Bombyx mori: one gene and its partners. The protein of the gene in region 1 interacts with the protein of each later gene in a pairwise test. Links are inferred from orthologs where the notes say so. Each region holds a gene or a part of one and is shown in the gene's direction. Other genes may lie near its edges.

Evidence for each region.
Region 2: the proteins of myosin-VIIa (region 1) and calmodulin interact in binary tests that used the Drosophila melanogaster proteins (3 or more experiments, as listed by UniProt). The link is inferred for Bombyx mori from reciprocal best matches to the Drosophila melanogaster genes ck and Cam.
Region 3: the proteins of myosin-VIIa (region 1) and cadherin-99C interact in binary tests that used the Drosophila melanogaster proteins (3 or more experiments, as listed by UniProt). The link is inferred for Bombyx mori from reciprocal best matches to the Drosophila melanogaster genes ck and Cad99C.

Annotation. Positions count from the first base shown.
Region 1 is NC_085110.1:14,511,789-14,523,259, forward strand, and holds the start of myosin-VIIa, read left to right. Parts: upstream 1-4,393; 5' UTR 4,394-4,499; coding exon 4,500-4,523; intron 4,524-7,166; coding exon 7,167-7,427; intron 7,428-7,866; coding exon 7,867-8,145; intron 8,146-8,437; coding exon 8,438-8,722; intron 8,723-8,981; coding exon 8,982-10,577; intron 10,578-11,195; coding exon 11,196-11,423; intron 11,424-11,471. UniProt on the Drosophila melanogaster protein: Myosins are actin-based motor molecules with ATPase activity. Unconventional myosins serve in intracellular movements: can function in cells as a single-molecule cargo transporter.
Region 2 is NC_085129.1:640,655-651,992, forward strand, and holds the start of calmodulin, read left to right. Parts: upstream 1-4,554; 5' UTR 4,555-4,633; coding exon 4,634-4,636; exon of another isoform or gene 4,637-5,211; coding exon of another isoform or gene 5,212-5,214; intron 5,215-8,324; exon of another isoform or gene 8,325-8,699; coding exon of another isoform or gene 8,700-8,714; intron 8,715-8,984; coding exon 8,985-9,159; intron 9,160-11,338. UniProt on the Drosophila melanogaster protein: Calmodulin mediates the control of a large number of enzymes, ion channels and other proteins by Ca(2+). Among the enzymes to be stimulated by the calmodulin-Ca(2+) complex are a number of protein kinases and phosphatases.
Region 3 is NC_085112.1:10,964,698-10,975,442, forward strand, and holds part of cadherin-99C, read left to right. Parts: intron 1-544; coding exon 545-793; intron 794-1,258; coding exon 1,259-1,354; intron 1,355-2,540; coding exon 2,541-2,694; intron 2,695-3,509; coding exon 3,510-3,805; intron 3,806-4,636; coding exon 4,637-4,864; intron 4,865-6,236; coding exon 6,237-6,502; intron 6,503-7,482; coding exon 7,483-7,701; intron 7,702-9,091; coding exon 9,092-9,218; intron 9,219-10,040; coding exon 10,041-10,143; intron 10,144-10,745. UniProt on the Drosophila melanogaster protein: Cadherin that functions in epithelial morphogenesis and the intestine epithelial immune response. Essential for female fertility. Regulates the length and organization of apical microvilli in developing follicle cells and salivary glands.

The DNA of each region.
Region 1 (11,471 bases):
TTCCTTAGATGGGTAGACGAGCTCACAGCCCACCTGTTGTTAAGTGGTTACTGGAGCCCATAGACATCTACAACGTAAATGCGCCACCCACCTTGAGATATAAGTTGTAAGGTCTCAGTATAGTTACAACGGCTGCCCCACCCTTCAAACCGAAACGCATTACTGCTTCACGGCAGAAATAGGCAGGGCGGTAGTACCTACCCGTGCGGACTCACAAGAGATCCTACCACCAGTAAAAAGTTGAACAGTCCGCAATGTTAGGACCGGACCGCGGGCCCAAGCCAAGGGATGGAATCCAGTTAGGTCTAGTGGCAAAGAGTCACAATTACTGTATAAAAGTGTCAATTGTGGAAAAGTTAAAACGCACATTCGGCTTAATACATCAGTGTTGGAGCTCCCATGACAGAGGCAGTACTGTCCAGCTTGTGCTTGCATTAATAAATAAAAGTAAATTTTCGCCGAAAGCCTACTTATTTCCCAAAGCGGTACATTTCTCGAGTCGGCGGGTTCCGATCATTGCGTTTGGCAACACATTCCATCAGCCACAGAATCCGACTCAGGGGTCGTTCACCTCGCTGACCACACACACATCACACACACACACCATGTGAATGTGAGACGTTTCAATTAAAACTATCATCATTGTTGGTAATTGAATGGCTATGGCATTGTCTTTTTTTCTTGAATATAATTAAGTTTCTATAGCCATGTGTGAATCTTTTAATAATGGGATTTATGGTAGTAACTCTATGATTGTTGAATGCGTAATCATACTTTACAAATATTTAAAGAATTTTTAAACTTATTTCTTGATGTGATGATACTCAAGATTTGTAAAAGCCACACATTATATAACAGAAATGTAACAAAATTAGAGGCTTGCCAAAAAATTCTTATTATGATCTGAGAAATCCTGATCTAACCTGAAATTGTGGAAGACTTATTGTTCTGATTTGACCGCTGTATCCAATCTATACTAATATATAAATCTACAGTGGTTTTTACGGATGTTCCGTTATAATTACTGAACCACGCATCCGATTGACTTAAACCTTGGTATCCATGTAGAAAATACATGTACTTAATGGATAGCATATTTAGATGAGTGTTGGACTCCCTACACCAGTTGCGGGGGCGTTAATGATGAGAATCTTTGTGGGGGTGAGAAATAATGACGTTAATTTTAAATGCCCAGCGAAGCGGACGGGTACAGCTAGTATTTCATAATTCACTTACTTTTTTGAAGTCAATAGCAGTGGTAGCAACTATAATATACGCGTATATGTAAAGGGTGTCCTGTATACATATGTAATATAACTCTTTGTCGCTTTCGACGAAAACGGTGCTTGGAGTGCCGAGAGTGGATCGGGAGGATCTATTAATAAATTTAGATGAAAATAATGGCACTGGTGAAATATTTCAATTTCCTAGGAAATAGTAAAACTACGTATTGATCAAACTACTGTTATTACTGGTGGTAGGACCTCTTGTGAGTCCGCACGGGTAGGTACCACCACCCTGCCTATTTCTGCCGTGAAGCAGTAATGCGTATCGGTTTGAAGGGTGGGGCAGCCGTTGTAACTATACTTGAGACCTTAGAACTTACATCTCAAGGTGGGTGGCGCATTTACGTCGTAGATGTCTATTGGTCCAGTAACCACTTAACACCAGGTGGGCTGTGAGTTCCTCCACCCACCTAAGCAATAAAAAAAAAGTAATTTGGATAGCTTAGTATGTATTTATGAATAAACTAGGTTTTGCCCGCGACTTCGTCCGCGTGGAATAGTTACTTTAGGATAACGATAAATTTTGCCCACGACTTCATTTACATAGAAGGTGAAAATATTTTTGAATAATAGAATATTAAGGAGCTATTTAAGCTACGAATATCACGCTTTTTAACCGACTTCAAAAGAGAAGGTTATCAATTTGACTACATTTTTTTATCTATGCATGTTCACCGATTTCTCGAGAATGCTTGAACCGATTCTTATAATTTCTTTATGTTTTTTTTTTCTTCAAAAGGGTAGACTTCCCGAATGGTTCTGTAATCATCAGGATCAGGATCTCATGATGGGATCCTGGAGAAATCGAGAAAAGTCCACAATTTTCAAAGCATAATATTTTGAAATGATTTGGGTGTTTCTTGTTATTCTTCTTATTCTGTGCCACCTCTGTACTAGTAATGAATAGCGTATTTATATGGATAAGGATTACTATAATCTTTATAAAAACATCTTCACAAATAATGCTTCTTTTAGAACAAATTTGGTTTACTTTTACTTTTAAAGGGGAACAATTCTATCATATATTATTTTAGCGAAACTTTAACAGTTTCTGCAGCGCACCCACCGGAAGGTCTCAAAAGGAAGAAAAAAAAACGATTTTGAAACATTCTTTATTAGTACTCTGCTCGTATTGCTCTTAGTGTGATGTTATATTGTAAATGGGCTATCTAACGCTGAAAGAATTTTTCAATTCGAAATGAGATTAGCGCGTTCAACCAAACAAACAAACTCTTCAGCTTTATAATATGACTAGCGACCCGCCCTCGCTTCGCTTCGGAAACATTAAAACAAACATGAAACAAAAAAAAAAATTAAAAAAAAAAAAAAAAAGTAGCCTATGTTCATCAGGGACAATGTCGGCTTCTAATGGAAAAAGAATTTTTCAAATCGGTCCAGTAGTTTTGGAGCCTATTCGAAACAAACAAAAAAACAAATCTTTCCTCTTTATAATATTAGTATAGAAGTATAGATTAATAAATAAGAAGTGATCTAAATCAGTTCAGGCGCCAACGGCTGTAGGCGGATCTTTAGGATGAAACCGGGTACTGTAATTGACTAATTTGGATTGAACTAGTTTCGTAACTTAATTGGTGATCCGTTTTATTTTCAATACAGTACAGCCCACGCCTGCCTCTAAAGCCATTGGAAAAACCAATTATTATGAAATGGCGAATGTCTATTCCAGTTGATGTGCTAATAAATTATTTGTTGCATTTTTTAGTGAAGTATGTAACGTAACTTGCTTGATTTAATTCAAATGCTTCGAGAATACACTATGATTCCCCTTAACCCATTAGCCACAGCCCACTGAGTTTCTCGCTGGATCTTCTCAGTGGGTCGCGTTTCCGATCCGATGGTAGATTCTGCGAAGCACGGCTCTTGCTAGGGTTCGTGTTAGCAAACGTCGTCAGGTTTGAGCCCCGTGAGCTCACCTACTAGTTAAGGTTACGCTGATATAGCCTCTCTAGGCTCTCAGCTTAGGTAGGAGAAAAAAGAAAAGAAAGAAAAGCTGTGACTCATTAATTTACTTGTCGTTTTATTGCAATAATACAAACACGTGTTGGAAGAACACGAACAAAGCGTTTCTTTCTAGTTATTGTATTAAAATGAACATTATCGTAAACATAATAATGCTTTTCAATTTATTTATAAGATGTTAAATTTCTTACAGTTCATATGTACAAATTTTCATTTATTTTCAAAGTTTCTTTGAAAAGAGTTAAGTTTTTTTTTTTTATGAAATTTAGTTATAGAAAGTAGACTGCCAGAATTACAAAACCGTTGTACAACGGCTATCACACCCTTCAAACAGGAACGCATGCCTGATTATCAATTTTGAAAATGAACCGTTTCTAGTTCCATCCAATTTACGTTTAAAAGTTTCATTATAACTAATACTAGTGGCCCCGCGGTAGTCGAGATTCGACTATAATTAATTGAAATTATAAGTTTAAACATTATTATGATTCTATTGTCAAACACATATTTCGATAATATAATCACAGTATTCGCCAAAACTGCACTACAGATTAATAATATTAAAGCCAAACAATTTTAATCTATTTTCAATTCGACCACAGACTTTAAACAATAACAAAACTTTCGCAATTGACAGTAAACAAAGAGGCTCTAATAAAGAATTAAAAAAAAAGAGTATATTTTTATGTATGTGTTGTGTCAAATACATGGTAGTGTGTGTAATGTTTTCTTTATTGATTTAAAGTATCTTTTATGCATTATTTAAAAAAAATATTAGCATTGTGCACTCCTCTATATTCTCTATAAGTGTGAGAAATTTCATACTCCTCCGTCCCTGCAATTTTCGTAAAAAGGGGTACAAAGTTTTTACTTCACGTATTAATATATAGATAAATCAATATTTTTGTTGGAATTAATACATAATATGTACTTTTCAATTTATACGTCACAGACCACGCATAAAACTGTCATCGCACTAATTGACCCAAAAACGAAAATTAATTATTTACACTAATAATATAAAAATGAAAATATTCAGTCTACATTAATGAACCATAAATATAATAAGTATACTCAATATAAAATTTATTCGTATCTGATGTATCGGAGCATACTCAGGTCAGAATCAGTGTCAAATTTACGATAAAACATCTATTGTGGATTCCTACAGTTAACATTTAATGTGCTGTGTTGTAAAACAATTGCATTCTGTGCTTTTTATAATGTACGAAGATGGAAACTTGTTTGACTTTTGAGGTCAGTAACTTTTTATTCATTGAAATTAATAGAAAGTTTGTTGTATTTATTATGGACGCCCTTTCTAGAGATGATTAGGTGAATTAGGCACGTGCAATCTTTTAAATAATTTATGTTATTATGAATGTAGTAATACAACGGGAACGTAAATATTTATTAATTTATATTGGTGTCAAAAACAAAACCATTAATTGATGCCTATACCTAAATATCCTTGGACTTTTAATAGTTCTGAATTAATTTGCATGATTGTATGAAAGATTACTTATTAGTTCAGTTTTCCTATTAAGAAAATGAAAGTGATAAGATATTAAATATAATTAGGGGTCCATTATCCTGAAGCCTTCAATAAGTTATAGACGGTTTTATTCATGATGCATCTTTTGCGTGATGCACATTATAATCTGTTTAAGAGTACTCTACTTTTTACATATACTCATTTCAGTAAACATTTCAATAATGTTTATGCACTTCTCATAAAAATTTATTACAATAACATAATGAGATATCAAACATTCGGATTATACTTGTAACGACATACGAAAGTCGGCGTATACAAATTACAGTATCTAAATAACTAGTTAACGCTTTCACGCAATATCATTGATAATGATCGGATAACTCGTTTGCAGTAATAGGGATGTCACTTTCTATATTTTACTTCCTAGAAGCATTTATTGTCTTTGTTTTCATTTCGCTTACTGAATTTATAAGTGAAGGCCAATGTAATCGACTATAAATTCAATGTTAAGTATATTAGCCACACTTAGATTGTTTTTATTTATTTTGTATTATTAAATATAATCAAATTAACAACTAGTTTAGAGAAATTTAAGCATGCATTACTCGGTACCCTTTTGCAGTGCCTTGCATTGTCTTGTTTGTATTAGGATGCGTTTCCAAACGATTACTTTGAAATCGCATGCAATATTGTATTCATTGGAAACTTTTCCGCTATCTATGATCTATGCTACTCTTTTTATTCTACCTGGAATGCCAGCTCAATCCACTTCTGAGTAAAGCTCGCATTTGGTGTATACCAATGAAATTGACCTTTGAACAATACAGAAAAATAAAAATATGTTAAAAAAATTTACTTGTCATCATGACATATTTCATTCTGCGTCACTTATAAATTGTCAGTTACACAATGAAACAGTTTACGATTATTATGTATGTATAGAAATGTAATTTACTATAGTTGTCAAATGCACAATTTTTGTATTATTGCAAACTTAAATTTCCCAATTTATATCGACTTTAATGCCTAAAACTGCAGTTTAAAAAGTATTAAAATATGTTTAAAAAATATTTTATGCTTTTGCAGTAGAATATGTTAATAAAACTATAAATTTTTAAATTAATGTATCAAGAACAAAGAAACTTATGCAAAAACTTAACTAACCCGTGTTCGTGATCAAGATATACCATTTTATCTATACTAATATATAAATCTATAGTGGTTTTTACGGATGTTCTGTTATAACTACTGAACCATACATCCGTTTGACTTGAAACTTGGTATCCATGTAGAAAATACATGTACTTAATGGATAGGCTAATATTTATATGAATGTTGGACTCCCTACACCAGTTGCGGGGGCGTTAATGATGAGAATATTTGTGGGGGTGAGAAATAGTAATGTTAAATTTAAATGCCCAGCGAAGCGGACGGGTAAAGCTAGTAGAATTATAAATATAAAGTCGCATACTGTGACAACTAGACCAATTGAATTAATCAGTAATGCTTTTTGTATTTATTTCCTAATCTTCATTTATTTTAACACTTCATCCGCCACTTCCAGATTTCAGATTAAAGTCTACCTCGTTGAATCTTGGTCTAATAATAACTTACATAAGAAAAATAGAAGATTTCTTACAATGTGACTATTTTATCCTTTTTTCTGAATTACATCGTTGCTGTTTAGCTTCTTTTTATAACCAATACTTATATTTTCGAAAACAATTTAACGAAATACGAGTTATTTTACATAATTTTCGCTACAAAAAATTATTACGACGATAAATTATAATTAAGCAGATAGACAGCTCGTGCCGTTATTTACAAAACTTTGAAAATTAAATGCTATCCTCAGATTTAAACCTGTTTCATTGAGATTATCGCGAAATCTATATGATGCAAAATAGTGAATGATTTCTTTTTTTTTCAACGTCGAGCTCACGGCCTGCCTAGTAATAAGTGAGAAATATAAAATAGCATATCAAAATCGTTATCTACAGAGATCCATGTTCCCCTAATTTCTTTAATCCCTTTTCTTGTTTGCCTTGTTACTCGTAGTCATTTTAAAATACCAAAAAATAATAGTTTAAAAAAACAAAAAAACACGTTTTATATAAAATTAAACTAAAAAATAGAAAATAAAATTAAATAAATTTAAATTGAAAATAGTGTAAAAATATATATATTTTATTGTAAAAAAAGCGTGGGGTGCTCAACGTAATCAAATTAGTGTATTGTCGTCGGTCCTCGATAAATCTACAAAGTTTGAATGAAATCTGGCCGTTTAAAGTGGGTCAAAATCGCGTCTAAAGGAGTCAGTTACAAACATACAAACATACATACAAGTGAAGCTAAGTAATAAAGCGTGTAAAAATAACTATTGTTGATGATTTGTGTTACAGGGCGATTACATATGGATCGAGCCGGTGTCGGGGCGGGAGTTCGACGTGGCGATCGGAGCACGTGTTCTCGCGGCCGAGGGACGTCGGATCCGGGTCCGGGACGACGACGGCAACGAGCAATGGCTTCCACCGGAGCGCCGCATCAAGGCGATGCACGCGACCTCCGTGCACGGAGTCGAGGATATGATCTCACTCGGCGATCTGCACGAGGCCGGTATACTAAGGAATCTCCTCATCCGGTACAATGAAAATCTTATTTATGTGAGTATGCTAATTGTTTAGTCATGACAGTAAATGTTTTGTTTTGATTACTAGTAACCAAAAATACCAATAGTAGTATTATTTCCACTATGATGCGAATAATATTCATTATCATATAAATGTTAGCTGAATAATGAATTTATTGTAATTCTGGTCTTTTACTGTTGGTAGGATCTCTTGTGAGTCCGCACGGGTAGGTACCACCACACTGTCTATTCCTGCCGTGAACAAGTAATGCGTTTCGGTTTGAAGGGTGGGGCAGCCGTTGTAACTATACTTTAGACCTTAGAACCTATATCTCTAGGTGGGCGGCGCATGTTGTAGATGTCTATGGGCTCCAGTAACCATTTAACATCAGGTGGGCTGTGAGCTCGTCCACCCATGTAAGCAATATAAAAAAAAAACAAAAAAAATTGAATGAAAATACTCGATATTCCAGACATACACCGGATCGATATTAGTTGCGGTGAATCCGTATCAGATACTACCGATCTACACGGCGGACCAGATCAAACTGTACAAGGAGAGAAAAATCGGCGAGCTACCACCCCATATATTCGCGATTGGTGACAACGCGTACGCACACATGCGGAGATATAATCAGGATCAATGCATCGTTATCAGCGGGGAATCGGGTGCTGGAAAGACGGAGTCAACAAAGCTTATACTTCAATACCTTGCTGCGATTAGCGGTAAACATTCATGGATAGAACAACAGGTGAGGAATGAATCTTGTATTTTCTTATAGTATTTGGATTTATACTACCCATATCAAAGGCAAGTTTAATTAATAGTGTTGGTACCTAAATTGTTAATTTAGATATCGGTATAGATATGGCGGTTAATATACACTAGATTTGGTATATATTAATTAGATAAGGTATTTATGGAGCTAAAAAATGATTTTAATGTTTTGTATTTACTGATTACATCCGACATCATTTATTTCAATTATTATTTTCTATTCTAAATTTGTATAACAAGAAACAATAAATATATTATCGTTTCAGATTTTAGAAGCTAATCCAATTCTAGAAGCTTTTGGGAATGCGAAGACAGTTCGAAATGATAATTCTTCGCGATTCGGAAAATATATAGATATACATTTCAATAGCTCTGGAGTTATAGAGGGAGCTAAAATTGAACAATATCTGTTGGAGAAATCTAGGATTGTATCCCAAGGCACCGAGGAGAGGAACTATCACGTGTTTTATTGTTTACTGGCTGGATTATCCAAAGACGATAAAAAGAAATTGGAATTAGGCGACCCTTCGGAATACAGATATCTGTCTGCGGTGAGTGTTTCATGTCTCGAAAATAACTCTTTCTAACCAAAACATATTGATATCTAGTTATCAATCTAATGTTCGATAGTCACATAGATCAACAAAAGCAATAACATTAAGAGATTGTTATTTTACATTAAAATTTTATTTATTTGATTGCTTATATCTGACATATTTTGATAATATCCTCGCGTGCTTGTTTAGATCTGATATCGATCCTAGACACGATTTTGCGTTTATGATAAAAAAATTACTATTTCTATTTCAGGGCGGGAGTTTTTCGTGCGAGGGCAGAGATGACGCTGCAGAATTCGCAGACATTAGATCAGCAATGAAAGTGTTATTATTCACAGAATCAGAAATATGGGAAATTTTAAAATTACTGGCAGCAGTCTTACATTGTGGAAACATAAAGTACGAAGCGACTGTTGTTGATAACCTTGACGCCACTGAAATTACAGAAGAAGCGAATGTAAGAAAGGTAGCCAACTTACTTGGTGTGCCCTTACAATCTCTTATACGTGCTTTGACTAGAAAAACACTATTTGCCCACGGAGAAACTGTTATATCAACACTAAGCAGAGATCAGTCTGTTGACATTAGAGATGCATTTGTGAAAGGAATTTACGGTAGGCTATTCGTAACTATTGTCAGGAAAATCAACGCGGCCATTTACAAACCCAAGTCAACTACAAGAACTGCAATTGGTGTCCTTGACATATTTGGTTTTGAAAACTTTGATCACAACAGTTTTGAACAGTTCTGCATTAACTTCGCAAACGAGAATCTACAACAGTTTTTCGTCAGGCACATTTTCAAATTGGAACAGGAAGAATATAACCATGAAGGCATAAATTGGCAACACATCGAGTTTGTTGACAATCAGGATGCTTTGGACTTGATTGCTTTGAAACAGCTAAACATTATGGCTTTGATAGACGAAGAATCTAAGTTTCCAAAAGGGACTGACCAAACTATGCTAGCTAAACTTCATAAGACGCACGGTCTCCACAGAAATTACCTTAAGCCAAAGTCTGACATTAATACTAGTTTCGGATTAAACCATTTCGCTGGAATAGTTTTTTACGACACACGGGGATTCTTAGAGAAAAACCGAGACACATTTAGTGCTGACTTACTGCAATTAATTCACATATCGACGAATAAATTCTTACAGCAGATATTCCAAGAGGATATCGTCATGGGCTCTGAAACAAGGAAACGGACACCGACGTTGTCAACGCAGTTCAAAAAATCATTAGACTTGTTGATGAGAACGTTAGGGACTTGTCAGCCGTTCTTCATTCGCTGTATCAAACCGAATGAATTTAAAAAACCAATGCTCTTCGATCGCGGCCTTTGTTGCAGACAGCTTAGATACTCCGGAATGATGGAAACTATTCGAATCCGGAGAGCCGGCTATCCGATAAGACATAGTTTTAAGGAATTTGTCGAAAGATATAGATTTTTAATATCGGGGGTACCCCCTGCTCACAAGACGGACTGTCGATCAGCCACTGCAAAAATTTGTGCTCAAGTATTAGGGAAATCCGATTATCAGTTGGGTCATACCAAAGTGTTCCTTAAAGACGCTCACGATTTGTTCTTGGAGCAAGAAAGAGACCGAGTTTTAACGAGAAAGATATTAATACTCCAAAGATCGATACGAGGATGGGTTTATCGTAGAAGATTCTTGAAGATGAGAGCGGCAGCTGTTCTCATTCAGCGTCATTGGCGGGGTAAACTACAGAGGATAAGGTACCAGAAGATGAAGGTCGGGTACGCTAGACTCCAGGCATTGATACGAGCAAGAGTCCTCGCACACAGATTCAGACATTTGCGCGGCCATATTGTCTCTCTACAGGTAATTTTTCAATTATTCAAACCAACACTTCCAATTAACCTCCCCCTTTTAATTACATGTAGGCATGTAATAAAATTTCATGTTGTTGCCTAAATTTTCGACACCACACTAAACAATTTTGTTTAAGCAGTGTTGTTTTAATGAATCCTGTTCCGAAATCTAGCTTTTTAATTTTGTAACACAGGTGCAACGCAGCATAGGACACGGGACACATGGACATAAAAAAAAATCGATTGTGTGAAAATTTCATATGTCTCTCGAACTAACACTTAACTTAAAAAATTTTGAAAAGAAATTTAAAAAAGATTTGTGTAAATAAGAAGAAGTTTATGTTTTGTAAACATAAAATATGTAGGTACAAAGAAAAATAATAGATGGCCACAAAAAAACAATTATTTTCATATGGCGTTATTCATTTATATTATGAATTATACACCCTTTGACAGCCTTATTATAACGGGTATATATATTATTATAACTTATAAAGACTAAGAACGTCAATAAACACATGGTATTTGAGATTGAGATGAGAGTCGCCTTAAAATTATATAAAATGTAAATAAATGGGACATTTTCAAGACTCGATAATTTAAAGATGTGGTATTATTACACTGTTAGGCTGCGGCTCGCGGGTACCTGGTGCGGAGGTCGTACGGCCACAAGATGTGGGCGATCGTGAAGATCCAGAGCCACGTGCGGCGGCTGATCGCGGTGCGGCGCTACCGGCGGCTCGCGGCCGAGGAGCGCGCGCACCGCGAGGCGCTGCGGCTGCGGCGCCAGGAGGAGCAGCGCCTGCACCACCAGGGGAACACGCGCGCCAAGGAGATCGCCGAACAAAACTACAGGGTGAGTTTTGATGTTCCGTGTAAAGAAGTACCGAGACCAATTTCGGGG
Region 2 (11,338 bases), on another chromosome or scaffold:
CACCCTGCCTATTTCTGCCGTGAAGTAGTAATGCGTTTTGGTTTGAAGGGTGGGGCAGCCGTTGTAACTATATTTGAGACCTTAGAACTTATATCTCAAGGTGGGTGGCGCATTTAGTAGATGTCTATGGACTCCAGTAATCACTTAACACCAGGTGGGCTGTGAGCTCGACCACCAATCTAAGCAATAAAAAAAAAGAATGGTTAGTTCATGTTCCGTAGGTAGTGCTAAAACCTCATCATCGTCTTGACATGATCTCTTCATCAGTGTTTTACCACTGCATCGCCCTGCGTTGCGACACATTTCATCAGTCATCACCTGGAACCGCGGCCGTGATTTACAATACGCTTCCAAATTTTTGCCTCATACTAACAGTCTCTACAACCAAATGACACCTCACATGATACACGCTCACCTACTTTGAAGACACTCAAAACCTTCTTAAAGTAAATTAAGCTTCAACATGTGCTACTCTATGCACGCCTGCTAATTCCCGAAGAACGCCTTTTTATTATAATATTAGGTTTTGAAGCAAACCAGTTTTTTTTTATGGGTAAAATAAATTAAGCCGTATAACAAATTATTTTGGTTTTATTACGTAGTTATTTTAATAAAGGTTCATTGCCTTTAATTCGACGATATTTTCTTTGTCTTCCTTTCCTAAATGGTATCTACTCGTGCTTCTGTTTACAAGTCTAAGATTCCACAAAGAACCGCTATTGTCCGTAGTGTGTTGAATACTTGTGTCCTCTTCAAACATAACGTCAATATTACGAAATGTCTTTGTTCCGTCACCACTGTGCTTAAACTCATTATTGAAAATTGCTCTAATAAATAGGGAAGGGATCTGTGCTTAACCGAAATACTGAAAACAACTCAAAATAAAATCATAAAACATCTTTTTTATTTAGAATTTTTCGATGTTTCTAGCAAAAGTACAAATTTTAATGTTGAATAATGCAATTTTAATTTATAATGTAAAACATACGATAAATTAAAAATAATAAATGATTGGTGCATGTTTTTGTTCAAGATTACGTGAACACTCAGCACGTCCTGACACGTAAGATTGAAGGCTTATCTGTATTGATAGAATAACAGTACTATCCCAAACTGATAGCAATGCAAGAGTCTTATAATATTAATATAAACAAAACAAAGGATCTTTAATGAATAATCTATTTCTACCACAACCCTGTGACGTTCGTCACACATAATAAAATTAAAAGTGTAGTTTGCGCCTAAAGCAATTATTAGAACCCGAATGACACTGGCAGCCGAAACCGCACCCCACTCTCACTAATTACACTAACAAATTAATGGGATTACTCACTCAAGAACACGCCATCTAAACGTATGGCAAAACGTTTTTTTTTTAAACAACATAATTAAAATTATTATGAACCTACTTAAAACATAAAGATCGTGCATCGTTATTCGTGGCGAGTTATTTGACAGCTCCTCGTAATATTGCAAGGGCCACGCGGTGTTAGCAGCGGCCAGGCCTCATGGGCATCACAGCATACCTGCCGCCATCCACCTGTAGACGTGAAGCCTCCGTCATCAAGTATCCGTTGTATTGAATAACGGCTATCCCACACTCCCAACCGGAACACACAGTGTTTTGTGGAGGAAATGGACAGGAGGGTGGAACTAGCCCGTAGGCTCATGTTAGCTAGTAAAAATTTGTTGACGTCGACCATGAATCGAGTAAAGATATCATCGTAGTACGATAGTCGGTCAGCGGTCATGACAGTCGGATAAACACCAGCACGTACACCCCTAACAGGACGAGCGGTATAAAACCTCAGCGATCGATCAAATTAAAATTTCAACGGAATGCAATCGAACATTCCAGAATAATTCCATTTTGTTACTAATACACCAGCCGGGCCGTGAGCTCGTTCATACATCTAAACAATAAAAAATACTAGTAGAAACAAGATATACGCTTCTCTAGCATATACAATACTATATAGTTTGAACCGTATCATAGGAGTATACTAAGCCTGGAAGTGCAATAAATAGATGTACAAAATTTCAAGACCATCGATATTTTTTTTCCTACGTGTTCTAGTAGCCTCGAGGCGTTATTCTAGATTCATCCAACTAGTAGGTGAGTTCGCGGGGCTCAAGCCTGACAAGCCATCGAGTAAAAGACGCTACCTAAGGATGGAGCACAAACAACGAACATATTATTATATTATTATTTTAATATTCATTATTAATTAGATACAAATAAAAATGTAGTTGTTATGTATGTAGTACTACAATAATTAAACTATTGTATTGTATTACTGTAGTATAATTATATAATTGATAACAATAATATCATTATTGTAGTAGCATTATTTACTGTATACAAATGTGTTTTTATTATAAAGTCTTATCTAGAAAAACTATGAAAAATTTCGAATATGTTGGGTAAATTTATTTTTCATTCTGTGTTGGTATAAAAGTAAAGCATCTGATAATCCACCAGTGTGCTTAGTGCGAGCTTTTTAACTTTCTCGATAGCGTAAAAGTTAACTCAACTTTAGATGGAGTTGGAACGTATGCCGCTAGGCGCGCTATTCCAACTGCATACAAATTTGACTTAACTTTTACGCTATCGAAAACGTTAAAATACTTGCACTAAACACACAGATCGTGAGTGGTAGTCACTACTGCATTTATCGTTGCCAATATTGAAATACCAAAAATCACATTGTGAGTCCGCGCGGGTGGGTACCACCACCCTGCCTATTTCTGCCGTGAAGCAGTAATGCGTTTCGGTTTGAAGGGTGGGGCAGCCGTTGTAACTATACTTGAGACCTTAGAACTTGTATCTCAAGGTGGGTGGCGCATTTACGTTGTGGATGTCTATGGGCTCCAGTAACCACTTAACACCAGGTGGGCTGTGAGCTCGTCCACCCATCTAAGCAACAAAAAAAAAAAAAATCCAATCCTTTATTAATACATAAATATTGTATTTTAATGACAAAAACCTTACATACACGCAAAGAAACTTTAAAACAATTTACTAAAAAAAATTAATAATTAAACAAATACGAGTTAGATGATGACTTCAAGTGCGAACAAAGTATTTTAATGTTCACAATGTAAAAAGTAAATTTTAATTAAACAATGCCCACGGAGCTTGTGACAATTTAGCGGAAAACTTTCATTTTTCAATTTAGTTCTATAACTCAATCACAGATGGTAGTACTGTCATCTAAACAATGGTGATGTGTTTCTTGACTTGCATAAAATCGATACTTACAATCGACAATCGATTGTTTAATAAAATTGACAATTAATTTTTTCTCTTAAAATGAGTTAAAATTTTTAATATTATAATATTATAACTTTAAAACCATCTAATCTGAAAGGATGAAATGAACATTATTTAAATATAAGGTTTTACAGTACAGAATTCGTGATTGCCCCTTTAGCTACAAAAAATCTTTTTATGGAAATGATAAATTAAAGTTATAATCTGCATGCCTTTCATTACATTCATTTTCGTTTCTATAATATCTTCTACAATGTAATAAGAATCTCTTTGTGACTAGTACTAATCTTACGGGGTTCTTACAATGAATGCTTCATAAATATTTCCGACGTGTGTTTTTAATTACATCTCATTGCACACATTGTAAATAAAAATCCTCAAATAACAGTGTCAAGCTAGGTTTTTCTTGTATTATGTATACTGGAAATATATACACGAGACGAGAACAAATATACCTAGAGCCCCAGATGCTAAAAATATTTAAGATACTAAATCGAACCTGAAGCCTTTGTTTGATTTTTCAGGGTCAATAAACACGTAAACAATAAAGCGATCATAAACAATCTACAAGTTCATATTTTTAGTCTGCTTTTACGTATCTTTAAATAAAAGAGATTACTTTGGTAGGTACTATCATAATTCAATTGTCTATATTAATTGGTAGGAAATTATGGTAATTGTTTTTTTGTTTTTTAATTTTTTATTATTTCCGGCATTCCGATTGTGTGCGAATCATACGGAAGATGATATTGCGACAAGATAGGGCAACGTTTACTTTCAGTAGGAATGCGTGTGTGGGGGCGCGGCGTCGGGAAGCCCGTGTTATCTCGTTAGCGGCGCCTGCGGGCGGCACTGCGGCGCGGATCTGGGGCAGCGGCGCTCGGGAGCGGGCACGGGCGGGCGCCGCTCTCGCTGGCGTGGGGCTCGCGGCCGCAGTGACGCATTGCAGGTGCGCGGCGGCCAATCGGCGCGCGCCGGTTCGCGCTCTACGCCGCCGCACCCGCCCCTTATAAAACCGACTATCCTTTGCAGAGCAAATTTAATCCTGTGTTGTGCGTCCCGAAACATGGACTTGGACGTTCCGAGGATAATCATTGTGTAGACCGTTTCCGCCCTGCAGCTTGCGAAACTAACCTTCTCGTGAACGAAAGACGGATATGACAGTGCGACGAATCGAGTAGTCGATTCGGAACGATTCGCGGCCGAGCTCGATCCGAACCGCGATCCCGAGTTTCTCAGCGAGGCCACTCGCGCGAGTGAGGGCGGCAGTATCGTTTCAGCCGTCGGTCCGTGCGGTCGCTTTTGCGGCGTAGTCTGTGATTTTTTAGTGTAGCTCCAGATAATCCAAGTTAATCTACAATGGTGAGTGCTATTTCTATTGAAAGGTGTCGGGAGTGCCTTCAGAAGATCACGAGGAACAGTTTCCGGGTCGTATTTCGGAGAAGTTATGCATCGGTGTTTATAGTGATGACGGCCTCCATTATATTATTGTGATGGCCGTTTTTTTTACCGCATTGCGGATTCGAGAAGTATCAGAAGGCGTAACTGAAGCCTCACAGCGAGGCTTTCGAAATAGATAAACTTCAAAGCAGTGTTGAAAGCTTTAGATTTTGCGATATTTAAAAACGAGCCTATGCAGAAACAACGGTCGCCATAATCTAATAGGTGGTGCCGGTGAAATTACGTTCTTTAATTTGCAGTAGGCCGTTAATGTCGGTTGAAATGGCGCAGGGACGTCGTTGGAAAGAAAACAAATGGCTTTGTAGTTTGGGCATATTGTCGAAAGGCCGCGGCCGCTGTTATGAGGATCGATCGCCGGGCGCAACTGTCAAACGCTCGTTGACTCATCGTCATTATCTGATATTGTACCTACGTAAAACTCTTTTCGTTAGACCGTGTTGTTGTACATAACATATCATCTGCTGTGAAATTCCATAATGGTAACTAAACTTGTCGCTTTCATCGTCGTACGGTGCCACTTATAGTAACAATCATGTAAATAAGTTTTTGTTTATCAAACCAAAACTACAGCTGTAATTCTTTTTCTTTTTTTTTTCGAAAAAGTTTAACATGCTCTTGTTATATTTTAAAAGCTGAATTCTGGTGTCTTACACCAAAATTTCCTTTGCTTGAAGTTACAGAAATTAAGAATAAATCGACGCTTGAAAGGCAAACTTGACTAAGCGACTATAACTGCTTTGTACATAAATGATAAGCAATAACCATATTCAGTGCGCAACGAAAAATAAATTTGTAGGTCTATTAAAATCATTTCAATCATACAGCTAGATTCATTAAAATAAATTTTGTTTTCAGGTATTTCAACTTTAAATTAGTCTACTGTAAAGTTCACGCATTATCGCTTAGTCACGTTTGCCTTTCAAGCTTCGATATGAATACTTGAAATCACAAGGATCGGTGTAGTCCCTATTGCCTACAGTATTACAGTTTGTTCCTGACTAAATCCCTAGCCATTATTTTTTCTATTTTATTTCAGCGGAGAATACTCATACTCGTGTTTAAAAAAATTCATTGAAAGTTTTTTGCCAGTAAAATAATGGGGATTGGGTATGTGGGGTATAATGGTGATATTTTCCCTGCAGCCATTCAAAGTTTTTGTTATGATTTATTTATTGTTCTAAGTTCGCAGATCATGGCTATGAATGTATATAAATTCATACAGAAAGAATCTGCTTTTTAATCTTATTCTAATCTTTAACTATTTTTTTACATCCATTGTTCTAGTAATAACTGTGCTACTCAATAAAATGAAGTCATGAAATGTTAGCTTGAGTATAATAAATAATAAACTGGTGGTAAACATTGATAAATGCTAAATATGCATTCTCAACTAAGGATAAACTTGGTATAATTAAGTTAATATATTATTATAACACCTAAAGTGTAAACATATGTTTAAGTTAAATATTTTTGTATATATCTGAAATTATATTTTTTTCTAATGTGTTTGAAAATCCAAGGAGTTGAGATTAATCTGAAGCTCAATTTAATTGAGTTGGGAAAAAGAAAATATGAAAGAGTTTAGCACATTCTATCATACATTATGAGAACCATTGTTAGCACCTATTGGTATAATTAATAGAGGTCTTTCAATGTGTCGAGGCTTAGCGGAGGCATTCTCATACAACTCTCCAGTTAATATGTAGGACATTGTGGGCTGTAAGCTATGTTTCTCACTACATTAGAATATCTGATAATACAAATCATGTAAAAAGGGCAATATATGTGCAATATTCTTTTCTAAAATAGCTAAGGCCAAATTATCCATATTTAAATAAATGTTCAAGTGACATGATAGTGTAATATTTACCTACTAACTACAATTGGAACTAAAATTAAGATAATAAATTCTTGTGGCCCTGTCAAATGTAGCTTAAGCGATTCTTAGGCTAACATCATTTTGGTACCCTCCGATAGTGCTTAAAGAGACTATTCACATCTAATAAAAAAGAATCCATTAAGCATGTTTATGTATTAAAATTAATTTATTAAAAAGGGAGTGATATTTCAGCTCAAATGATTATTGTCTCTAACAAGCTGAATCTAAATAATAATTCAACATTAAAAAGTGTAGTTGTATCGGAATTGTACAAAAAATGTTAATTTATGCCTCATACATTTGTGTTCCTACGTTGAATCATAACTTAGGTATTTCATACCTATTGCCTACTGTGTAGAATACAACATAGTTATATCAAGTAATATTAGTTTTATTTTTACTGTGTCAATGTGAACAAGTTAGTGACTGTGCATCACTATATTTTTTAGATTTATTTGTTTAGTTATTCATGTTATTGATAACTAAAACATAGTTAAATTAAAAATATATTGCTCTTAGTACAGTAGTATCCCATTTAAGCGGCCGTGAATTCGAGATTGGACATACATGGAGCTTCTTGATTTTCCTGGAAAAAAACTGGCTCTTAGCAATGTGTCTATATTTGAATTTTGCTTGGCACTTGCTTTTCGCCCACAGACCATGACTTGACTAATCATCAAACTTTCGGCCCACAACAACCAAATTTTTTTATTATTATTGCTTAGATGGGTGGACGAGCTCACAGCCCACCTGGCGTTAAGTAGTTACTGGAGCCCATAGACATCCACAACGTAAATGCGCCACCCACCTTGAGATATAAGTTCTAAGGTCTCAATTATAGTTACAACGGCTGCCCCACCCTTCAAACCGAAACGCATTACTGCTTCACGGCAGAAATAGGCAGAGTGGTGGTACCCACCCGCGCGGACTCACAAGAGGTCCTACCACCAGTAATAAATAAAAATAGTAGTAAACTGTCAATACTTTGATGGTGGGGTATTTTCTAAATCCGCCTATACGCGGTTCTATCATCGTGTGCATATTTCTAATGTTAAATAATCTTGCATTGCGTTTTAAATAGTCGATATGTGTTAGTTCAAAGTAACTAGGACTTAAATCTTGTTTCATCCGTGTGTGGATTCAGTAACCGCTTAAATTCTCTCTACCCATTATGAGGGATAAAATGCAGAGGTTTCAATTGTATTGATCGATTCCAAACGAACGCATTAGTGCTTCGCTTCGTTGTTGAGATAACACTATAACTTTACATATTGGTATAGGCCTACAATACTCTCTACTTCCACTAATTACTTAGGTAAGTAAGGCTGTTCTCAGTACACCTCAAGAATGCCAGGCGCCTAGTCGAATGGCAGTTGGCCGTGAAGTACTTTAAGTGCTGTACAATACAGCCGTGCATTATTCGGATCAATTAAACATGAATCAGCGGATCTATATGTTGAATACGTTTCAAAATGATATTGTTATCAAAATAAACTTTAAAGAGACTATTCTGCCTGAGAGTATGATTATATTTTATGTACATGCAAAACATGTACAAGTGTTAGTTTATACGACAAAAGTTGTAATTTTAATGGTATGATTGAAATGTGCGGTCGTGGAACATCATAATATATATCTTACCGAGACTAATCGCATAATTATTTCAAATAATATTTTTCATAAGGCTTACTTCCATGTAGGCTCGGATCCAAATGTTTGATAACAACATTTTGTGCCAAATGAGGTTATTTTGCAATTTCAGGAATCTATTTGAATCAAACTTTATCGGAACTTGTGGATCCACGATTGTGGCTTGTGCCATCGTATTACTAATTATAGCGCGAAACGATTTAGGCTAAATTATAAATTCGGTCTAAAAAGTTTATATCAATAACAATAAACATTATCGCAAGCCATAATGATAAATGTTCCAATGCAGTATGTTATATTTATCTGTGCCGCATTGTGACGTGTCAGTTTGAGTAGGTAATTATACATAATCTCTGCCTGGTATCTTATCGGCAGAGTTTTGTTGGCACTTTGCCAGTCTGCCTGCCGGTCTTCTGTTGCGAATCCTCGTCTACTATGGTCGTCATGGCTGTACGTATAGGCTTCTGCTTGACAGTTTTTTTTAATGTCCTTTACTGTGGCGTTGAATCATGCAGTTCTTTTTTTTAATTTGATTCAATTGAGGTTTTGTGATTGAATGTTTTGTAAAGTTGTGTTTTTTTTCAGTTAGGAAGTGGCTGCCTTCAATTTGCGATAGATTTTTACTACCTATTGTTTGTTTTTTATTCGTTTTATGATAAAATATATACGCAAATTTGATTAAAAATAAATAGTGTTTTAAAACGCTCATAAATATTGCAGGCGGATCAGCTGACGGAAGAACAGATCGCCGAGTTTAAGGAGGCATTCTCACTGTTCGACAAAGACGGCGATGGCACCATCACGACCAAAGAGCTGGGCACCGTGATGAGGTCGCTAGGACAGAACCCCACAGAAGCCGAACTTCAAGACATGATCAATGAAGTAGACGCGGACGGTGAGTACACATAAAACCATATGATCTATGCAAAATAATTAAAAATAGAACACTGAAATTTCCAAAACTGTTATAGAATCTGCAAAATATTTCTTCAGCCAACCGCACTCTAAAAAAAAGTATTTTAAAACGTTTCAGCCTATGAAAAGTGGCGTTACATAATGTAATTCCATACATTTTGTTTCACTTCAAATGAGAATACCCTAGTTAATGAAACACGCGGTAAGCACAGATGAAATAAAGCGGTCGCTTGAAACTACCCTCGATGTAGCTTATACAGTGTGTTGTAAAGTTTTATTGTTGTCGTGAATGTTCGGTCAGTGCTGTAACTTGCATTAAAAATGTTTACTACCTACCCTCGCGGGAAACGTAACGATAAAACTTGTTTATTGTTTAGCAAATTTTTAACTAGTTTGTCAACTATGTTACAAAATTTACGACCAGTAGTGTGTCATGATGTAAACTTTAATTGCATAGTTAGGACAGACCTTTTTTATCCCTCGAAGCAATATCGTCGGAAGAAATTCTAGGTAATTTCGATCATATTCTTCATAACGGCTGTGGCCCCTGATTTAGGCAGAGCTACATTTAGAATTTGCTTGAAACAGTTTTCAAGTTATCCTAATGAATTAGCTCATCTAATACAGAATTTTCTTCTGTAATCGGTGTGATATCACCAAAGATTATCTCGTTCTGGCATAATACAGTCTAATACTTCTAACGGCTGCGGTGCTGTATATGACGCCCATCAATTTCAACATGACACTTATTGGTGTTTCACAAAATTTATAAGGTTATGTTGTAATATTGCAATAAACGCCGAAACATTTACGAGAGGGATTCACAGCACAATTCAATAAACTTATCGTAACGTGAAAAAAAAAACTGATTCTAATTAAAACTAAAGTTTGATGAGACTAAAGTTTCAATACTTCAATATAGCCGTTTCAATTAAATGTAACGTAATGAGTTGATATCTACCCCCCTACGCCGACTCGAAAATTCCTGTCTCCTATATCTCGCTCGCTTTATTTCTATTATTTCCATTTCCGATCATGCGGACCGAATAGTAAACAGTCCACGTCGCCCAAAACACGTCATTTCGGATCCACCCCATCCACTAACGGTGTTTTTAGGTACTACAAGCACCGGTCATCGTTCTCGTCGAACCCGTCGCTTGCGACGAAGGGCTCGGCGAGTAAATTAACCCACAGATACAGCCCACTGAGTCTCTCGCCGGATCTACTCAGTGGGTCGCGCTTCCGATCCGGCGGTAGATTCTGCGAAGCACTACTGCTAGGGTTAGTGTCAGCAACGTCGTCAGATTTGAGCCCCGCGACCTCATCTACACGTTAAGGTTACGCTGAAATAGTCTCTCAAGGCCATCAGCGTAGGTAGGAAAAAAAATATCTATTATTTCTGGAGTGAACCCTAACCTTTTCTATGCACTTAATTATTTTCCTTGTTAAGATAATACGAACACAGTTTCTTTTTTTTCTGTTCACTTGAATGATTGTGAATGTAATAAAACCTGTTTGGTTTACGGTATCTAGTATGTAATCGTTGTTTTATCGCTAGATTCACGTACGTAATGTGGCTGATAAAATGTGTACCTGATGATAAATCATTGGAAAAATTATAAGGTATAATGATTTTTGTCGTTGTCAATTTTATTTTCGCTGAACGTTTCACTCTAGATCAGTTAATTTCTACTAAAGTGCGTCTAATTTAATCACTCTGGTATTTCTCTACAGAAGTTCAATCTCCTCATTAATCATCTTAATACATGAGCTGGCAATTTTAATCGGAAAAGCAAAAAATTAATCTCAATCAAGTCTAGTCTGCGCTAACCCATAGTAGTTTTACTGTTGAGCAGCAGTTATCTTTGATGTCGTCTCAAGGACGGTAAAATTAAATACCGCTTGAACGTTCAGTCATGTTTGTTGACGCTCGGCAATTATTCTCCCTTCAAACTGTAAATAATTTAGATCACTTTAATCGTTTATACAAGCCGGGGTTTTGTTAATTGCACGTCCTGTGTTTGTGCGTTTTGCCCCGATAAAAACGTTATCACTCGTTTTCTACGCTAACGTGGGTAAACATGAATGAAACTGAAATTAATTTGGCTTTAAGGTATAATTCCAATGGAATGGATTCAGTACGGAAAGGAGCTAGTAGC
Region 3 (10,745 bases), on another chromosome or scaffold:
GTTGTATAGTTGTTACGACGATTGTATACAAGTTCAGCACATTTGTCTTGCTTAGTCATACGCTACATGGCTTATGTTGCAAGCCAGCTGTTAAGCTATTACATAGCTTTTATCGCGGGCTTTGAACGCGGCGATCGAATCAAGAAATTCCGTAACGAAAATAAAACCTAACACGCCCCCTCCGCCTACTATGTAGCTCGCGTTCAATACATTCACACGTTGCGATTGTGTAATGTTTGTAAATAAGCGCGCGCGGTGTGACGTCTCACTACATGCGCATCATGAAAAGTCTGCCCATCTCTCTCTCGCGCGGTCTAGCTTATGAGTGTGAAGGGGACAGTTAATGTTTTGCTTTTCTTAATGTTTATAAATATAGCGTGGTCTTATTTTATTATTGTTTTAATTTTAAATTATTATTGTCTAATTATAATTGCATAAGTTGATAAAAAATACTATTCAATAACTTTACCGCGGCAGTCCCTGAGTGCCACACGTGTTTTTTTTTACTTGTATAAAATAAATAAATAAGTTTGTATATCTCCAGGACAAGAACGATAACTCGCCCATATTCACGTCAGTGGTCCGACCGGTCACGGTGGAGGACTCATCGTCTATAGGGAGTCTCGTGCAGACGGTCGTCGCCAGTGACGCAGACGCGACGTCACCGAACAACAGAGTCCGGTACAAACTAGTGGGTCGGGGTAAAGCGTCCAAGTACTTCCACGTCGAACCCGACACCGGTGCGTTGAGGGTTCGCGATGATCTGAAGAAGGAAACGGATAGCGAGTATACGGTAAGATTCATACTGGTTTGTTGTCTTGAGCCCTCGTGTCTCCTTACGAGGGACCCCCCTCTGCCTGACCTTGAGGCAGGGGTGATGAGCTTTTTTTTATTGCTGCTTAGATTGGTGGACGAGCTCACAGTCCACCTAGTATTAAGTGGTTACTGGAGCCCATAGACATCTACAACATCTAGGAAGGGTGGTGGTGCCTACCTGTGCGGTCTCACAAGAGGTTTGCTGGCATGAATCTCATATACGTGCTGGTTTGAGTTCAGATTGGATGGAATTTTCTTCTTTCTTCGTTCTTCTTTTGGAAGACCGAATGGTTAGGCCACAGACAGAAACGTGAACACATCCGCCCACCTTTCTCTATCACCACATCTTTCATACCGAAACGCATTACTGCAGCAATAGGCGGAGCGCTGGTACCTACGAGCTAAGTAGAAATGATTAAAACCAAATTCGTGTGCATTACAGGTGGACGTACAAGCTTACGACCAAGGCGATCCGGTCATGTCATCGGTGACCAGTCTAACGGTGTACGTGAGCCATTCGGCAACCGTTCCACCTGACGTAAGCGCTCAGTTTTTTACACATGTAGCAGCAGTAGTAGTAGTAGAATAGTAGAGATAAAAAAACTATAATAGAACTAAAAAAATATTTCTTGAAAACTCGTCTTTAATTCGTTGATACTAAGGTTTTTTTATATAAAGATTCTTTGATGTAAGTACGCGCTCTAAATGTATTAAGAATGAGAGCAGAGAGGTAGGTAGGCAGGAAAATGTCAATAGATAAAAGTTTATGGGCTCACGACCCTTAGTATTGATTATCGAAGCCCATAGATACTAAAACGTGGATGACATCACTTCAAGCTGAATGTTTGGATTTAGGAACGCTTGACTGCTTCTCTATAGAAATAGGAAGGGATGTAAAGAGACAAAAAGCTCTTTAGAAATAGGCAAGATTGAAAGAACCAACAAGCTCTTTAGAAATAGGCTGGATGGAAAGTGACAAAAAGCTCTTTAGAAATGGGCAGGATGGAAAAAGACAACAAGCTCTTTAGAAATAGGCAGGATGGAAAATGACAACAAGCTCTTTAGAAATAGGCAGGATTGAAAGAACCAACAAGCTCTTTAGAAATAGGCTGGATGGAAAGTGACAAAAAGCTCTTTAGAAATGGGCAGGATGGAAAAAGACAACAAGCTCTTTAGAAATAGGCAGGATGGAAAATGACAACAAGCTCTTTAGAAATAGGCAGGATGGAAAGTGACAACAAGCTCTTTAGAAATAGGCTGGATGGAAAATGACAACAAGCTCTTTAGAAATAGACAGGATGGAAAGTGACAACAAGTTCTTTAGAAATAAGCAGGATGGAAAGTGACAACAAGCTCTTTTGAAATAGGCAGAATGGAAAGAACCAACAAGCTCTTTAGAAATAGGCAGGATGGAAAGTGACAACGTCGAGGATCGTGGGTTCGATTCCCACATCGAACAAACATTCGTGTAACGAACAGTTTTTTATGCTCATTTTCTGGGTGTTTATTAAACAAGTTTGTGTGTCAGTCTCTGGTATCCATAGCACAGGGACTCCTAATTAGGGGCCAGATGACCGTGCGTGATTTATTCCCAGTTATTTAATTTATATCCCCCAACTCACTAAAAACTGCTACGTAATTTTAATATAAATTAAATTTTAATTTTTTAATGATGCTATTTCTTCATTTCTAAGTTAATTCAATATTTTTTCTTCGTCCATCAGGTCGGCTTAGGTTTCGCTGATACAGTGTATACGGAACACGTTGCCGAGAACTCGCCCAACGGTACCCTAGTTAGAGTGTTGCCATTACTCAATAAAAGGGAACATTCCCCAGACACGCCTCTAAAATGCTTACTCACAGAATCTTCGCAAAAAGGTAAGATTGCGTTAATTATTCTATAGGTTATGTGGTTATTGATATTATGAAATGCATAATTAAATAATCAATAGAAAAATGGCCAAGATTACCCTATTTTCGTTTTGTGTGGAATCCCTTTAAACCAGGGGTGAGTGACCTTTTTTATCAATGGGCCCATTTTAATTTTAAATTTTTTTGGCGGGCCGCCCTTTTTATCTCTTATTAATAATTTACGAAACATTATTTTTTTAATAAAAACAATTAAGAAAACAACAGAAAAACGATTTTATGGGAGAAGGTCGATAAAATAAATTTCAATTATAGAAATGATTGGCGGGCCGCGTGTTGCTCATCCTTACTTTAAACAAAACCTTTTTTTTTCATTTTGTAGTTGGGTGGACGAGCTCACAGCTCAACTGGTGTTAAGTGGTTACCGAAGCGCATAGACATCTACAAGGTAAATGCCGCCACCCACCTTGAGATATGAGTTCCAAGGTCTCAGTATAGTTACAACGGCTGCCCTACCATTCAAACCGAAACGCATTACTGCTTCACGGCAGAAATAGGCAGGGTGGTGGTACCTACCCGCACGGACTCACAAGAGGTCCTACCACCAGTAATTACGCAAATTATAATTTTGCGGGTTTGATTTTTATTACACGATGTTATTCCTTCACCGTGGAAGTTAATTGTGAGCATTTGTTGAGTACGTATTTCATTAGAAAAATTGGTACCCGCCTGCGGGATTCGAACACCGGTGCATCGCTACATACGAATGCACCGGATGTCTTATCCTTTAGGCCACGACGACTTATACTAACCGATTTATTCAGGGATATTCTACGTGAAGCTGACAGAAGACCGCGACTGCGCGATATACCTTAACACGAGTTCGCTAGACTACGAGACACTATCGGAGTATTCTCTGGAAGTACAACTGGAGTCCATACAGGGTCTGATCAACCCCGACAGTAGTAGAGCGCTCGTCAAAGTTCATGTGACCGACGTCAATGACAACCACCCCGTGTTTGTGTTCAACGAACAGTCCACTGTGGCCGCCGCGAAAGGGAAATACTTCGCTATTGTCAATAAAGAGATGCTTCTGGGCACCAACGTTCTTCAAGTAAAGGTGAGATGAAATTTAAAATAAAATAAAAAGAAATTTTGTTAATAATTTTATCTTATTATTTATTTAGTTTAATTTAAATTTACTCAAAATTAATTTTATGTAAATGAAAAAAAAAAGATATTCAACTTTATTTAAATTTAATTATTCAATTAATTATTAAATGATTGATTTAATTAATTAAGCTTTCAATAGTTGAACTATTGAAAACACACGGTTTTTTGAATAGATCGTTCTCGTTGATTAAATATAAAAAACTACTTTTAAATATTAAAAAAAATACTTTTACATAGACTAACACGAGTCATTTTTGAATGTGCAGACTATGAGAAAAGCTATTAGATGCCTATCATATACTCCTGGTAACAAAGAAGTAATGCGTGCTGATTTATAATTACTCACTTAAAGTGCTATACGTGAGATAAATTTCAATCTTTTGTCGTACATTTAAAGTTCATTTTGGTAAAGCATCGAACGTAAATACTATACACAAACAATATTTGTCGTGTAAAACAACTCTTTATTTACTCGACAATAAATGAGTCGTCTATTATCAAAGGTGGCAATCTGTACATTTGGACAAAAAAAATTTATTGATATGTCAATACAGATTTATTTGAATATAATCGTCTCCTTCAAAGAATACGGTTCAAAACCTGCATTAAATAAAGGTTAATAGTTAACCTGTTATTTATCTAAGATGTCGTTCCGAAGAGTTTTGTGACTGCCAATGGAATACAAAGTCAATAATTCGTTTTTCTGATTTACCAATCATTGTCCAAAAGTCAGATTGCCGCCTTTGATAATAGTCGACTCAAATATCGATTTATTCAGGCGAAAGATCGGGACAGCGGCGCTTACGGCAAGTTAGAATACCACAAGAACTCGTGGACCGAAGCGGCCGAAGAGTACTTCGGTCTGGACGCGGACACGGGGATCATAAGCAATATAAAATCGTTCGAGAACGTTCCAAAGGACATTCTGCCGTTCAAGTTCAGCGTGACCGCGAGAGACAACCCTGATTCGCCACAGGACTATAATATAGCCAGAGCGTCGGTTGTGGTAAGTGTTCGATCCATATTTATTTCATAACTCACGGCGTAAAGTGATCATAGGATCTTTTTTTTTAATGCTTAGATGACGAGGACGAGCTCACAGCCCACCTGTTGTTAAGTGGTTACTGGAGCTCATAGACATCTACAACGTAAATTCGCCACCCACCTTGAGATATAAGTTCTAAGGTCTCAAGTATAGTTACCTAGTTCATAGGATCTCACAGATATTAACGCGTAAATGCCGCCATCTTGACGCTTGAGCTCTAAGTCTCAATTCTACAGTAGTGACTAAGTTAATGATACCTATAAGTGTGGGCTGAAAATTCTATTCAGTTAAGATGAAATAAAACATTAATACGCAATAGTTTTTCATCAGGAACACTGTAAAGCATTCTAAATGGCGGAAATAATAACGACAGATGAAAGGTTATTTGGCTTAAGCGACATTTTTGCAACTTTGTAGATAGCGGCTTTGGCTCTGCCCCTGGTATTGCTGAAATCCATGGGTGACAGTAATCACTCACCTTCAGGTGGGCCATATGCCCGTCTGCCTGCAAGGGAAATAAAAAACTTACAGAAGAGCCATTTAAAATTCAAAATTTGAAAAAAAATCCATAACAAAAAAATAATCTTCAGCTAGTATTTGAATGGAGTAAACTTAATTTAAGTTCAATTAAAAAACGTCGAAATGTTGATGCTAATACCAAATAAAACGGACCTTTAATTACAAAGGTAAATGTCGCGTTTTTAAGCGAAATCTCGCTTATACCAAATGGCCTTTCACTCCTCGATTTATAATAACAATAATAAATGTGTGATTAAACCGTAAAATTACGTTTAATCATGTCTGCGACTAGCGAAAACCTGTTACAAAATACATAACTACAGCTCTACCACAGTAATGTAATCCTGTCAATAATTCACTGAAGCTCTACACGCGAGGTGACCTTCACTCACCTCTATCTCTACCTTTCTATCTTTATCTGACTATCTATTCCTAGAGATCTTATCTTAGAGATCATATTCCTATCTATTCCTAGACCTGTATCTATCTATCTTTATACAAAAACAATATACTGTTACATTTATACAGAACAATATAATGTTACTGGTGGTAGGACCTCTTGGGAGCCCGCGCTGGTAGGTACCACCACCCTGCCTATTTCTGCCTTGAAGCAGTAATGCGTTTCGGTTTGAAGGGTAGGGCAGCCGTTGTAACTATACTGAGACCTTAGAACTTATATCTCAAGGTGGGTGGCGCATTTACGTCGCAGATGTCTATGAGCTCCAGTAACCACTTAACACCAGGTGGGCTGTGAGTTCGTCCACCCATCTAAGCAATAAAATAATAATTATTATTATAATTATGCTAATTACAGATAAACTTATTACAAAAAGAGAATCAACTGGTATTGGAAATAGCGGATTTGAATCCGGATGCGATGCGCCGGAGAGCCAGAAGTCTTCTATCGGTCATAGAAGAGAAGAGCGGTTTGGTCGCCGGCCTAGAAAAGTTAACGTCGAGACATTATCTAGGAGAGAATGGTACATTGGAGAGCGACAGCCGTGGGACCGACGTTTGGCTCTACCTAATCGAACCTAGTACTGGCGAAATATTGACTAGAGAATCTATGCCTGTGCAGAAGTGAGTAGACAATTATTGACATTACCTATTATATTTATATGTATATAAATCTCTCTGTCTCATATATTCCTAGTACATTTATATAATACTAGTGGTTCCCCAGTAGTCGAAATAGTGGTGTAAATTAATTTTTATGCTTATGACTTGGGAAACCTTAGAGCATATGATATTCGCATTATTATTTATTACTAGACGATGACCGAGTTTTTTTTTGTTGATAAATTGTGTTTTTTAGAAATGATATTTAAATACGAATTACATATTGATAACATGATGAAATATTCCAAGATCGTTTAGGCATTTAGTAAATGAACACGTGAGTTAAAAATGCACAAATAATATAAATATACAATTCATTTTCTTGGTCTAACCTTAAACCAAACACTCATTGGCTTCGGGTTGCTTAACAACGCCATCTGCTGAAATAGCCTTAGCGTTATTGTGTCTTTAAAGCAGTTAGTTGCTCTCAATTATGAAAAATAGTATTATTATTCGCCAATAGATGTCGGGAAGAGTCATAAAGTTGATTATCGAAGAAAAAAAAAAATGAAATACACCGAACAAACAATCAAAAGTATTTCATTAGAAAAATCGGTATCCGCCTGCGGGATTCGAACACAGGTGCGTCGCTCAACACGAATGCACCGGACGTCTTAACCTTTAGGCCACGACGACTTCAAATACTATTTTTTAGAAGCGTTGTGATTTCAAACTCGATAAAACGAAAAAATAAGTCCATAGAGACACAAACACATAAATGTATAGGATTCAGCCGGCGAGAGAATGAGATAGAGCACATTCGACGGTCTCGGTCTCTTCTTTCTGCGACTCTTCGTAGCATCCCCACTATCGTCTACTAAACATTGTCCATATGTATGCTCCTGTGTAGTGGGACGGTCAGTATATCTATATCTTATTTATAAGTTTCACTTCTTCCGTGTCTGACTTGCTTGCACACACATTTTTTTTTATCTTCATAGGGCCATAGAGACTGGGGTCCACAAAGCGGTGGCTGCTCGGCTTCAGTCTCCAGTCAGTGAAGTTCGAGCTCCTTTATTAGCGGCCGAATTGCCGAAGAAGCCTCACATAGCAGCCGCGCCGCTCGCCACGGCCCTACCCGCCGCCCTGATAGGCCTGGCCGCCGTCGTACTGGTCGCCGCACTGGTCGCCACCATCTACATCTGCGCCTCATGGAACAGGTAAATGTTTGTATTAGTTTAAGTTCAACTGAAGATCAAGACTAGACTGTCCTCACTCTGCCTTCGCCGCGCACTCGAGTACTTCGGTCATATTGCTGGGAAAACACCGGATAGCTTAGAGAGACTATTCGTGACAGGGAAGATCGAGGGAAAGAGACTGCGCGGGCGCAGTCCGACAAGGTGGTTCGACCAAATCCGCACCACACTAGAGATCCCATTCCACGACGCCCTTCATGCGGCCAATGATCGGAGACGCTGGCGGGACATTACAAGGAGCAAAATCCTGTCGACATAAATGGTCACGACCCTCAGCAGTGAGGAAATGATGCGAGGAGGAGGGAGAAATTCCCAAGGAGAGGAGTTTTCACGATCGGTCTTGGGCTACGCGCAGCCCGCTGAGTTTCTCGCCGGATCTTCTCAGCGGGTCGCGTTTCCGATCCGGTGGTAGATTCCGCGAAGCACTGCTCTTGCTAGGGCCAGTGTTAGCAACGCTCCCGGTTTGAGCCCCGTGAGCTCACCTACTCGCCCGGTTACGCTGACATAGCCTCTCAAGGCTATCAGCTCAGGTAGGGGAAAAAAGGGCTACGGGCTTTGTTTCGGCATACAATAGTAGCAGTAGCTTTTGATTGTTGAACGCGCTGAAAAATCCAATAATCACTATTTGCTAATAATTACGGTACTTTAAAAACAAAAGAATATTGTACACTCCTTAGATTTAAGGTTCCAATTATTTTGTTCTATATACATATATTTATATTGTTATTGCGATCAATCGCAATAACAATATAATGTCGTCTTAAAAGTAGTTAAATTATGTTTAGGACTCGCAAAACTCAAAAAAAATACTACAATTATCGAACAGGTCCACCACCCGAATATGGTTTGAAACTTTGCCTTGAAAATGTCGTTTCCACAATCCAAATTTTTGTCAGATATCTTTTATTCCAAAAAAGAATGACAGTAGGAGGGGATTGAAAGAGACATATACTTCTTTAAATGCAATCTTTATGATAATGACACCGTTATTGATCGGTATGGTGCAGATTAATTAGCAAAAAGTGTGTGTGTGTGCAAGTCACACACGGTAGAAGTGAAACTTATAAATAAGATATAGATACAGATATACTAACTATCCCACTACACAGGAGCATACATATTACGGACAATGTTGAGTAGACGATAGTGGGGATGCTACGAAGAGTCGCACAAAGAGGAGACCGAGAACGTCTAATGTGTTCTATCTCATTCTCTCGCTGGCTGAATCCTATACTTATTTTTTCGTTTCATCGAGTTTGAAATCACAACGATTCTAAAGAAGTTTCACTTCAATAACTACAACGTGCATAATATTATTAAATCATGTATCAATTGTTCTTACTCCATTTCTAAGGTATAAGAAACACAAAGAGCAAGCGGTTCAACAGTACGGAACTCTGAGTATGAGCATGCCGCCTCCTCGTCCTCCGTCTGGCTACGAGTCCAGTGAAGATGACCCCGCACCGAGATATGAAACACAGGTACTATAAGTTTCAAGTTCTCCTAGACATTTACTAACATTTACCGCAACCCATACAAAATGATCTCTATTTAAATATTACTATGGTCTATCAACCTCCATTTGGAGGATAAGTGGAATATGAGAAGGATCAATTATGGAGATGTCTCGATATGTGTGTATAACAATAAAATTAGTAACATTCACTAACGCTTATCGACAATGTCAATGCCAGAAATAGATATGGCGCTGGCAAGGATTTTTCAATCCTCTTTTAGAAGCCCTTGAAGGTTTAACTTAATCTAAATAACATAGTCAATACTTTTGTTTTACACAGAATCAATTTTGGTGATCTAGTTAAATTTACTAAATAAATACGGATACGATAAAGTTTTTTTTTTAAAAGTTACTGATGTATGTTGCAAAAGTTATTGGGGTATGTTGCAATTGAAGACACGAGTGGATGAAGAGAAGATATGATACCATTTGTTAATTTTGAGAAAACTGGCAACAACCATTTGTTATCTGTAATTTTTCTTCGTTAATGACTACTTCAACACATGCAAATTTCTAAAAATAGCCTTGAAACCAGTCGTTTTAAGGTCTAATATGGTTTATAGGCACATAACGCCTTCATTTCATGTAAAAAACCAAAAATCTTAAAAATGGTACTTAACCCCTTCATTCACTCATGACTTCAATTATTTTTAGCAGATGCTAATGTCGTCCAGATAATCGTGTCGGTGAAAAATCTTCGTTTTAAATTAGCTCTTACGTTTATTTGTTTTAATCATATTTTAGATTGTGTTATTTGTATTTTAATAGAATTTCGCATCTCTAACAGGTACTCAATATGGCGGTCGATGACGCGGATCTGCAATTAGACTTCAGTCCAAACAATCACGCGTTCAATATACACAACGTTCAATATTTATCCAAAGATAATGGTGAGTTTATTCGACCTTTGTAAAACTCAAGTAAATGGAAAATGACGTTACAATTTAAGATTCTTAAAATAGGTAATTCACATCTCACACTGTTATAAAATATAATAAATATAAACATATTTTACACACGATGCAACTTGACATTACAGTCTGATATCTTACTTATTTGTTTTTACTTTAATATTGACTTAATAATTAGAAACGGGATTTTTTAAAAAACACGCCAATGAAACTTATTTGAAGATTTCGAAATATTTTTTTAATTTTAAATACAATATCATTGGTTTGTCTTTTGTATAATTATTTTCTTAAATAATTGCTATAAAATTCCAAAGTACTCACTAATCCTGACAAAAGAGACTTGGAAAAAGTAAATCTGAATTTATGCTTCACATTGTAAGATTTACGAAATTTGAAGTCCTGTCCCAGTACCTAAGTGCAAACTGAATATAGATTATCTAAAAAAAAATACTGTACTATTTTATTATATTGTTTTATTTTTTTAAATATAAGAACACTTATTGCGGCGTAACTATAATAGTTAGACATATGCTGTCGTTAAACTTTTTATAAATAATAATGTGTTCTACAAATTTGTTGTA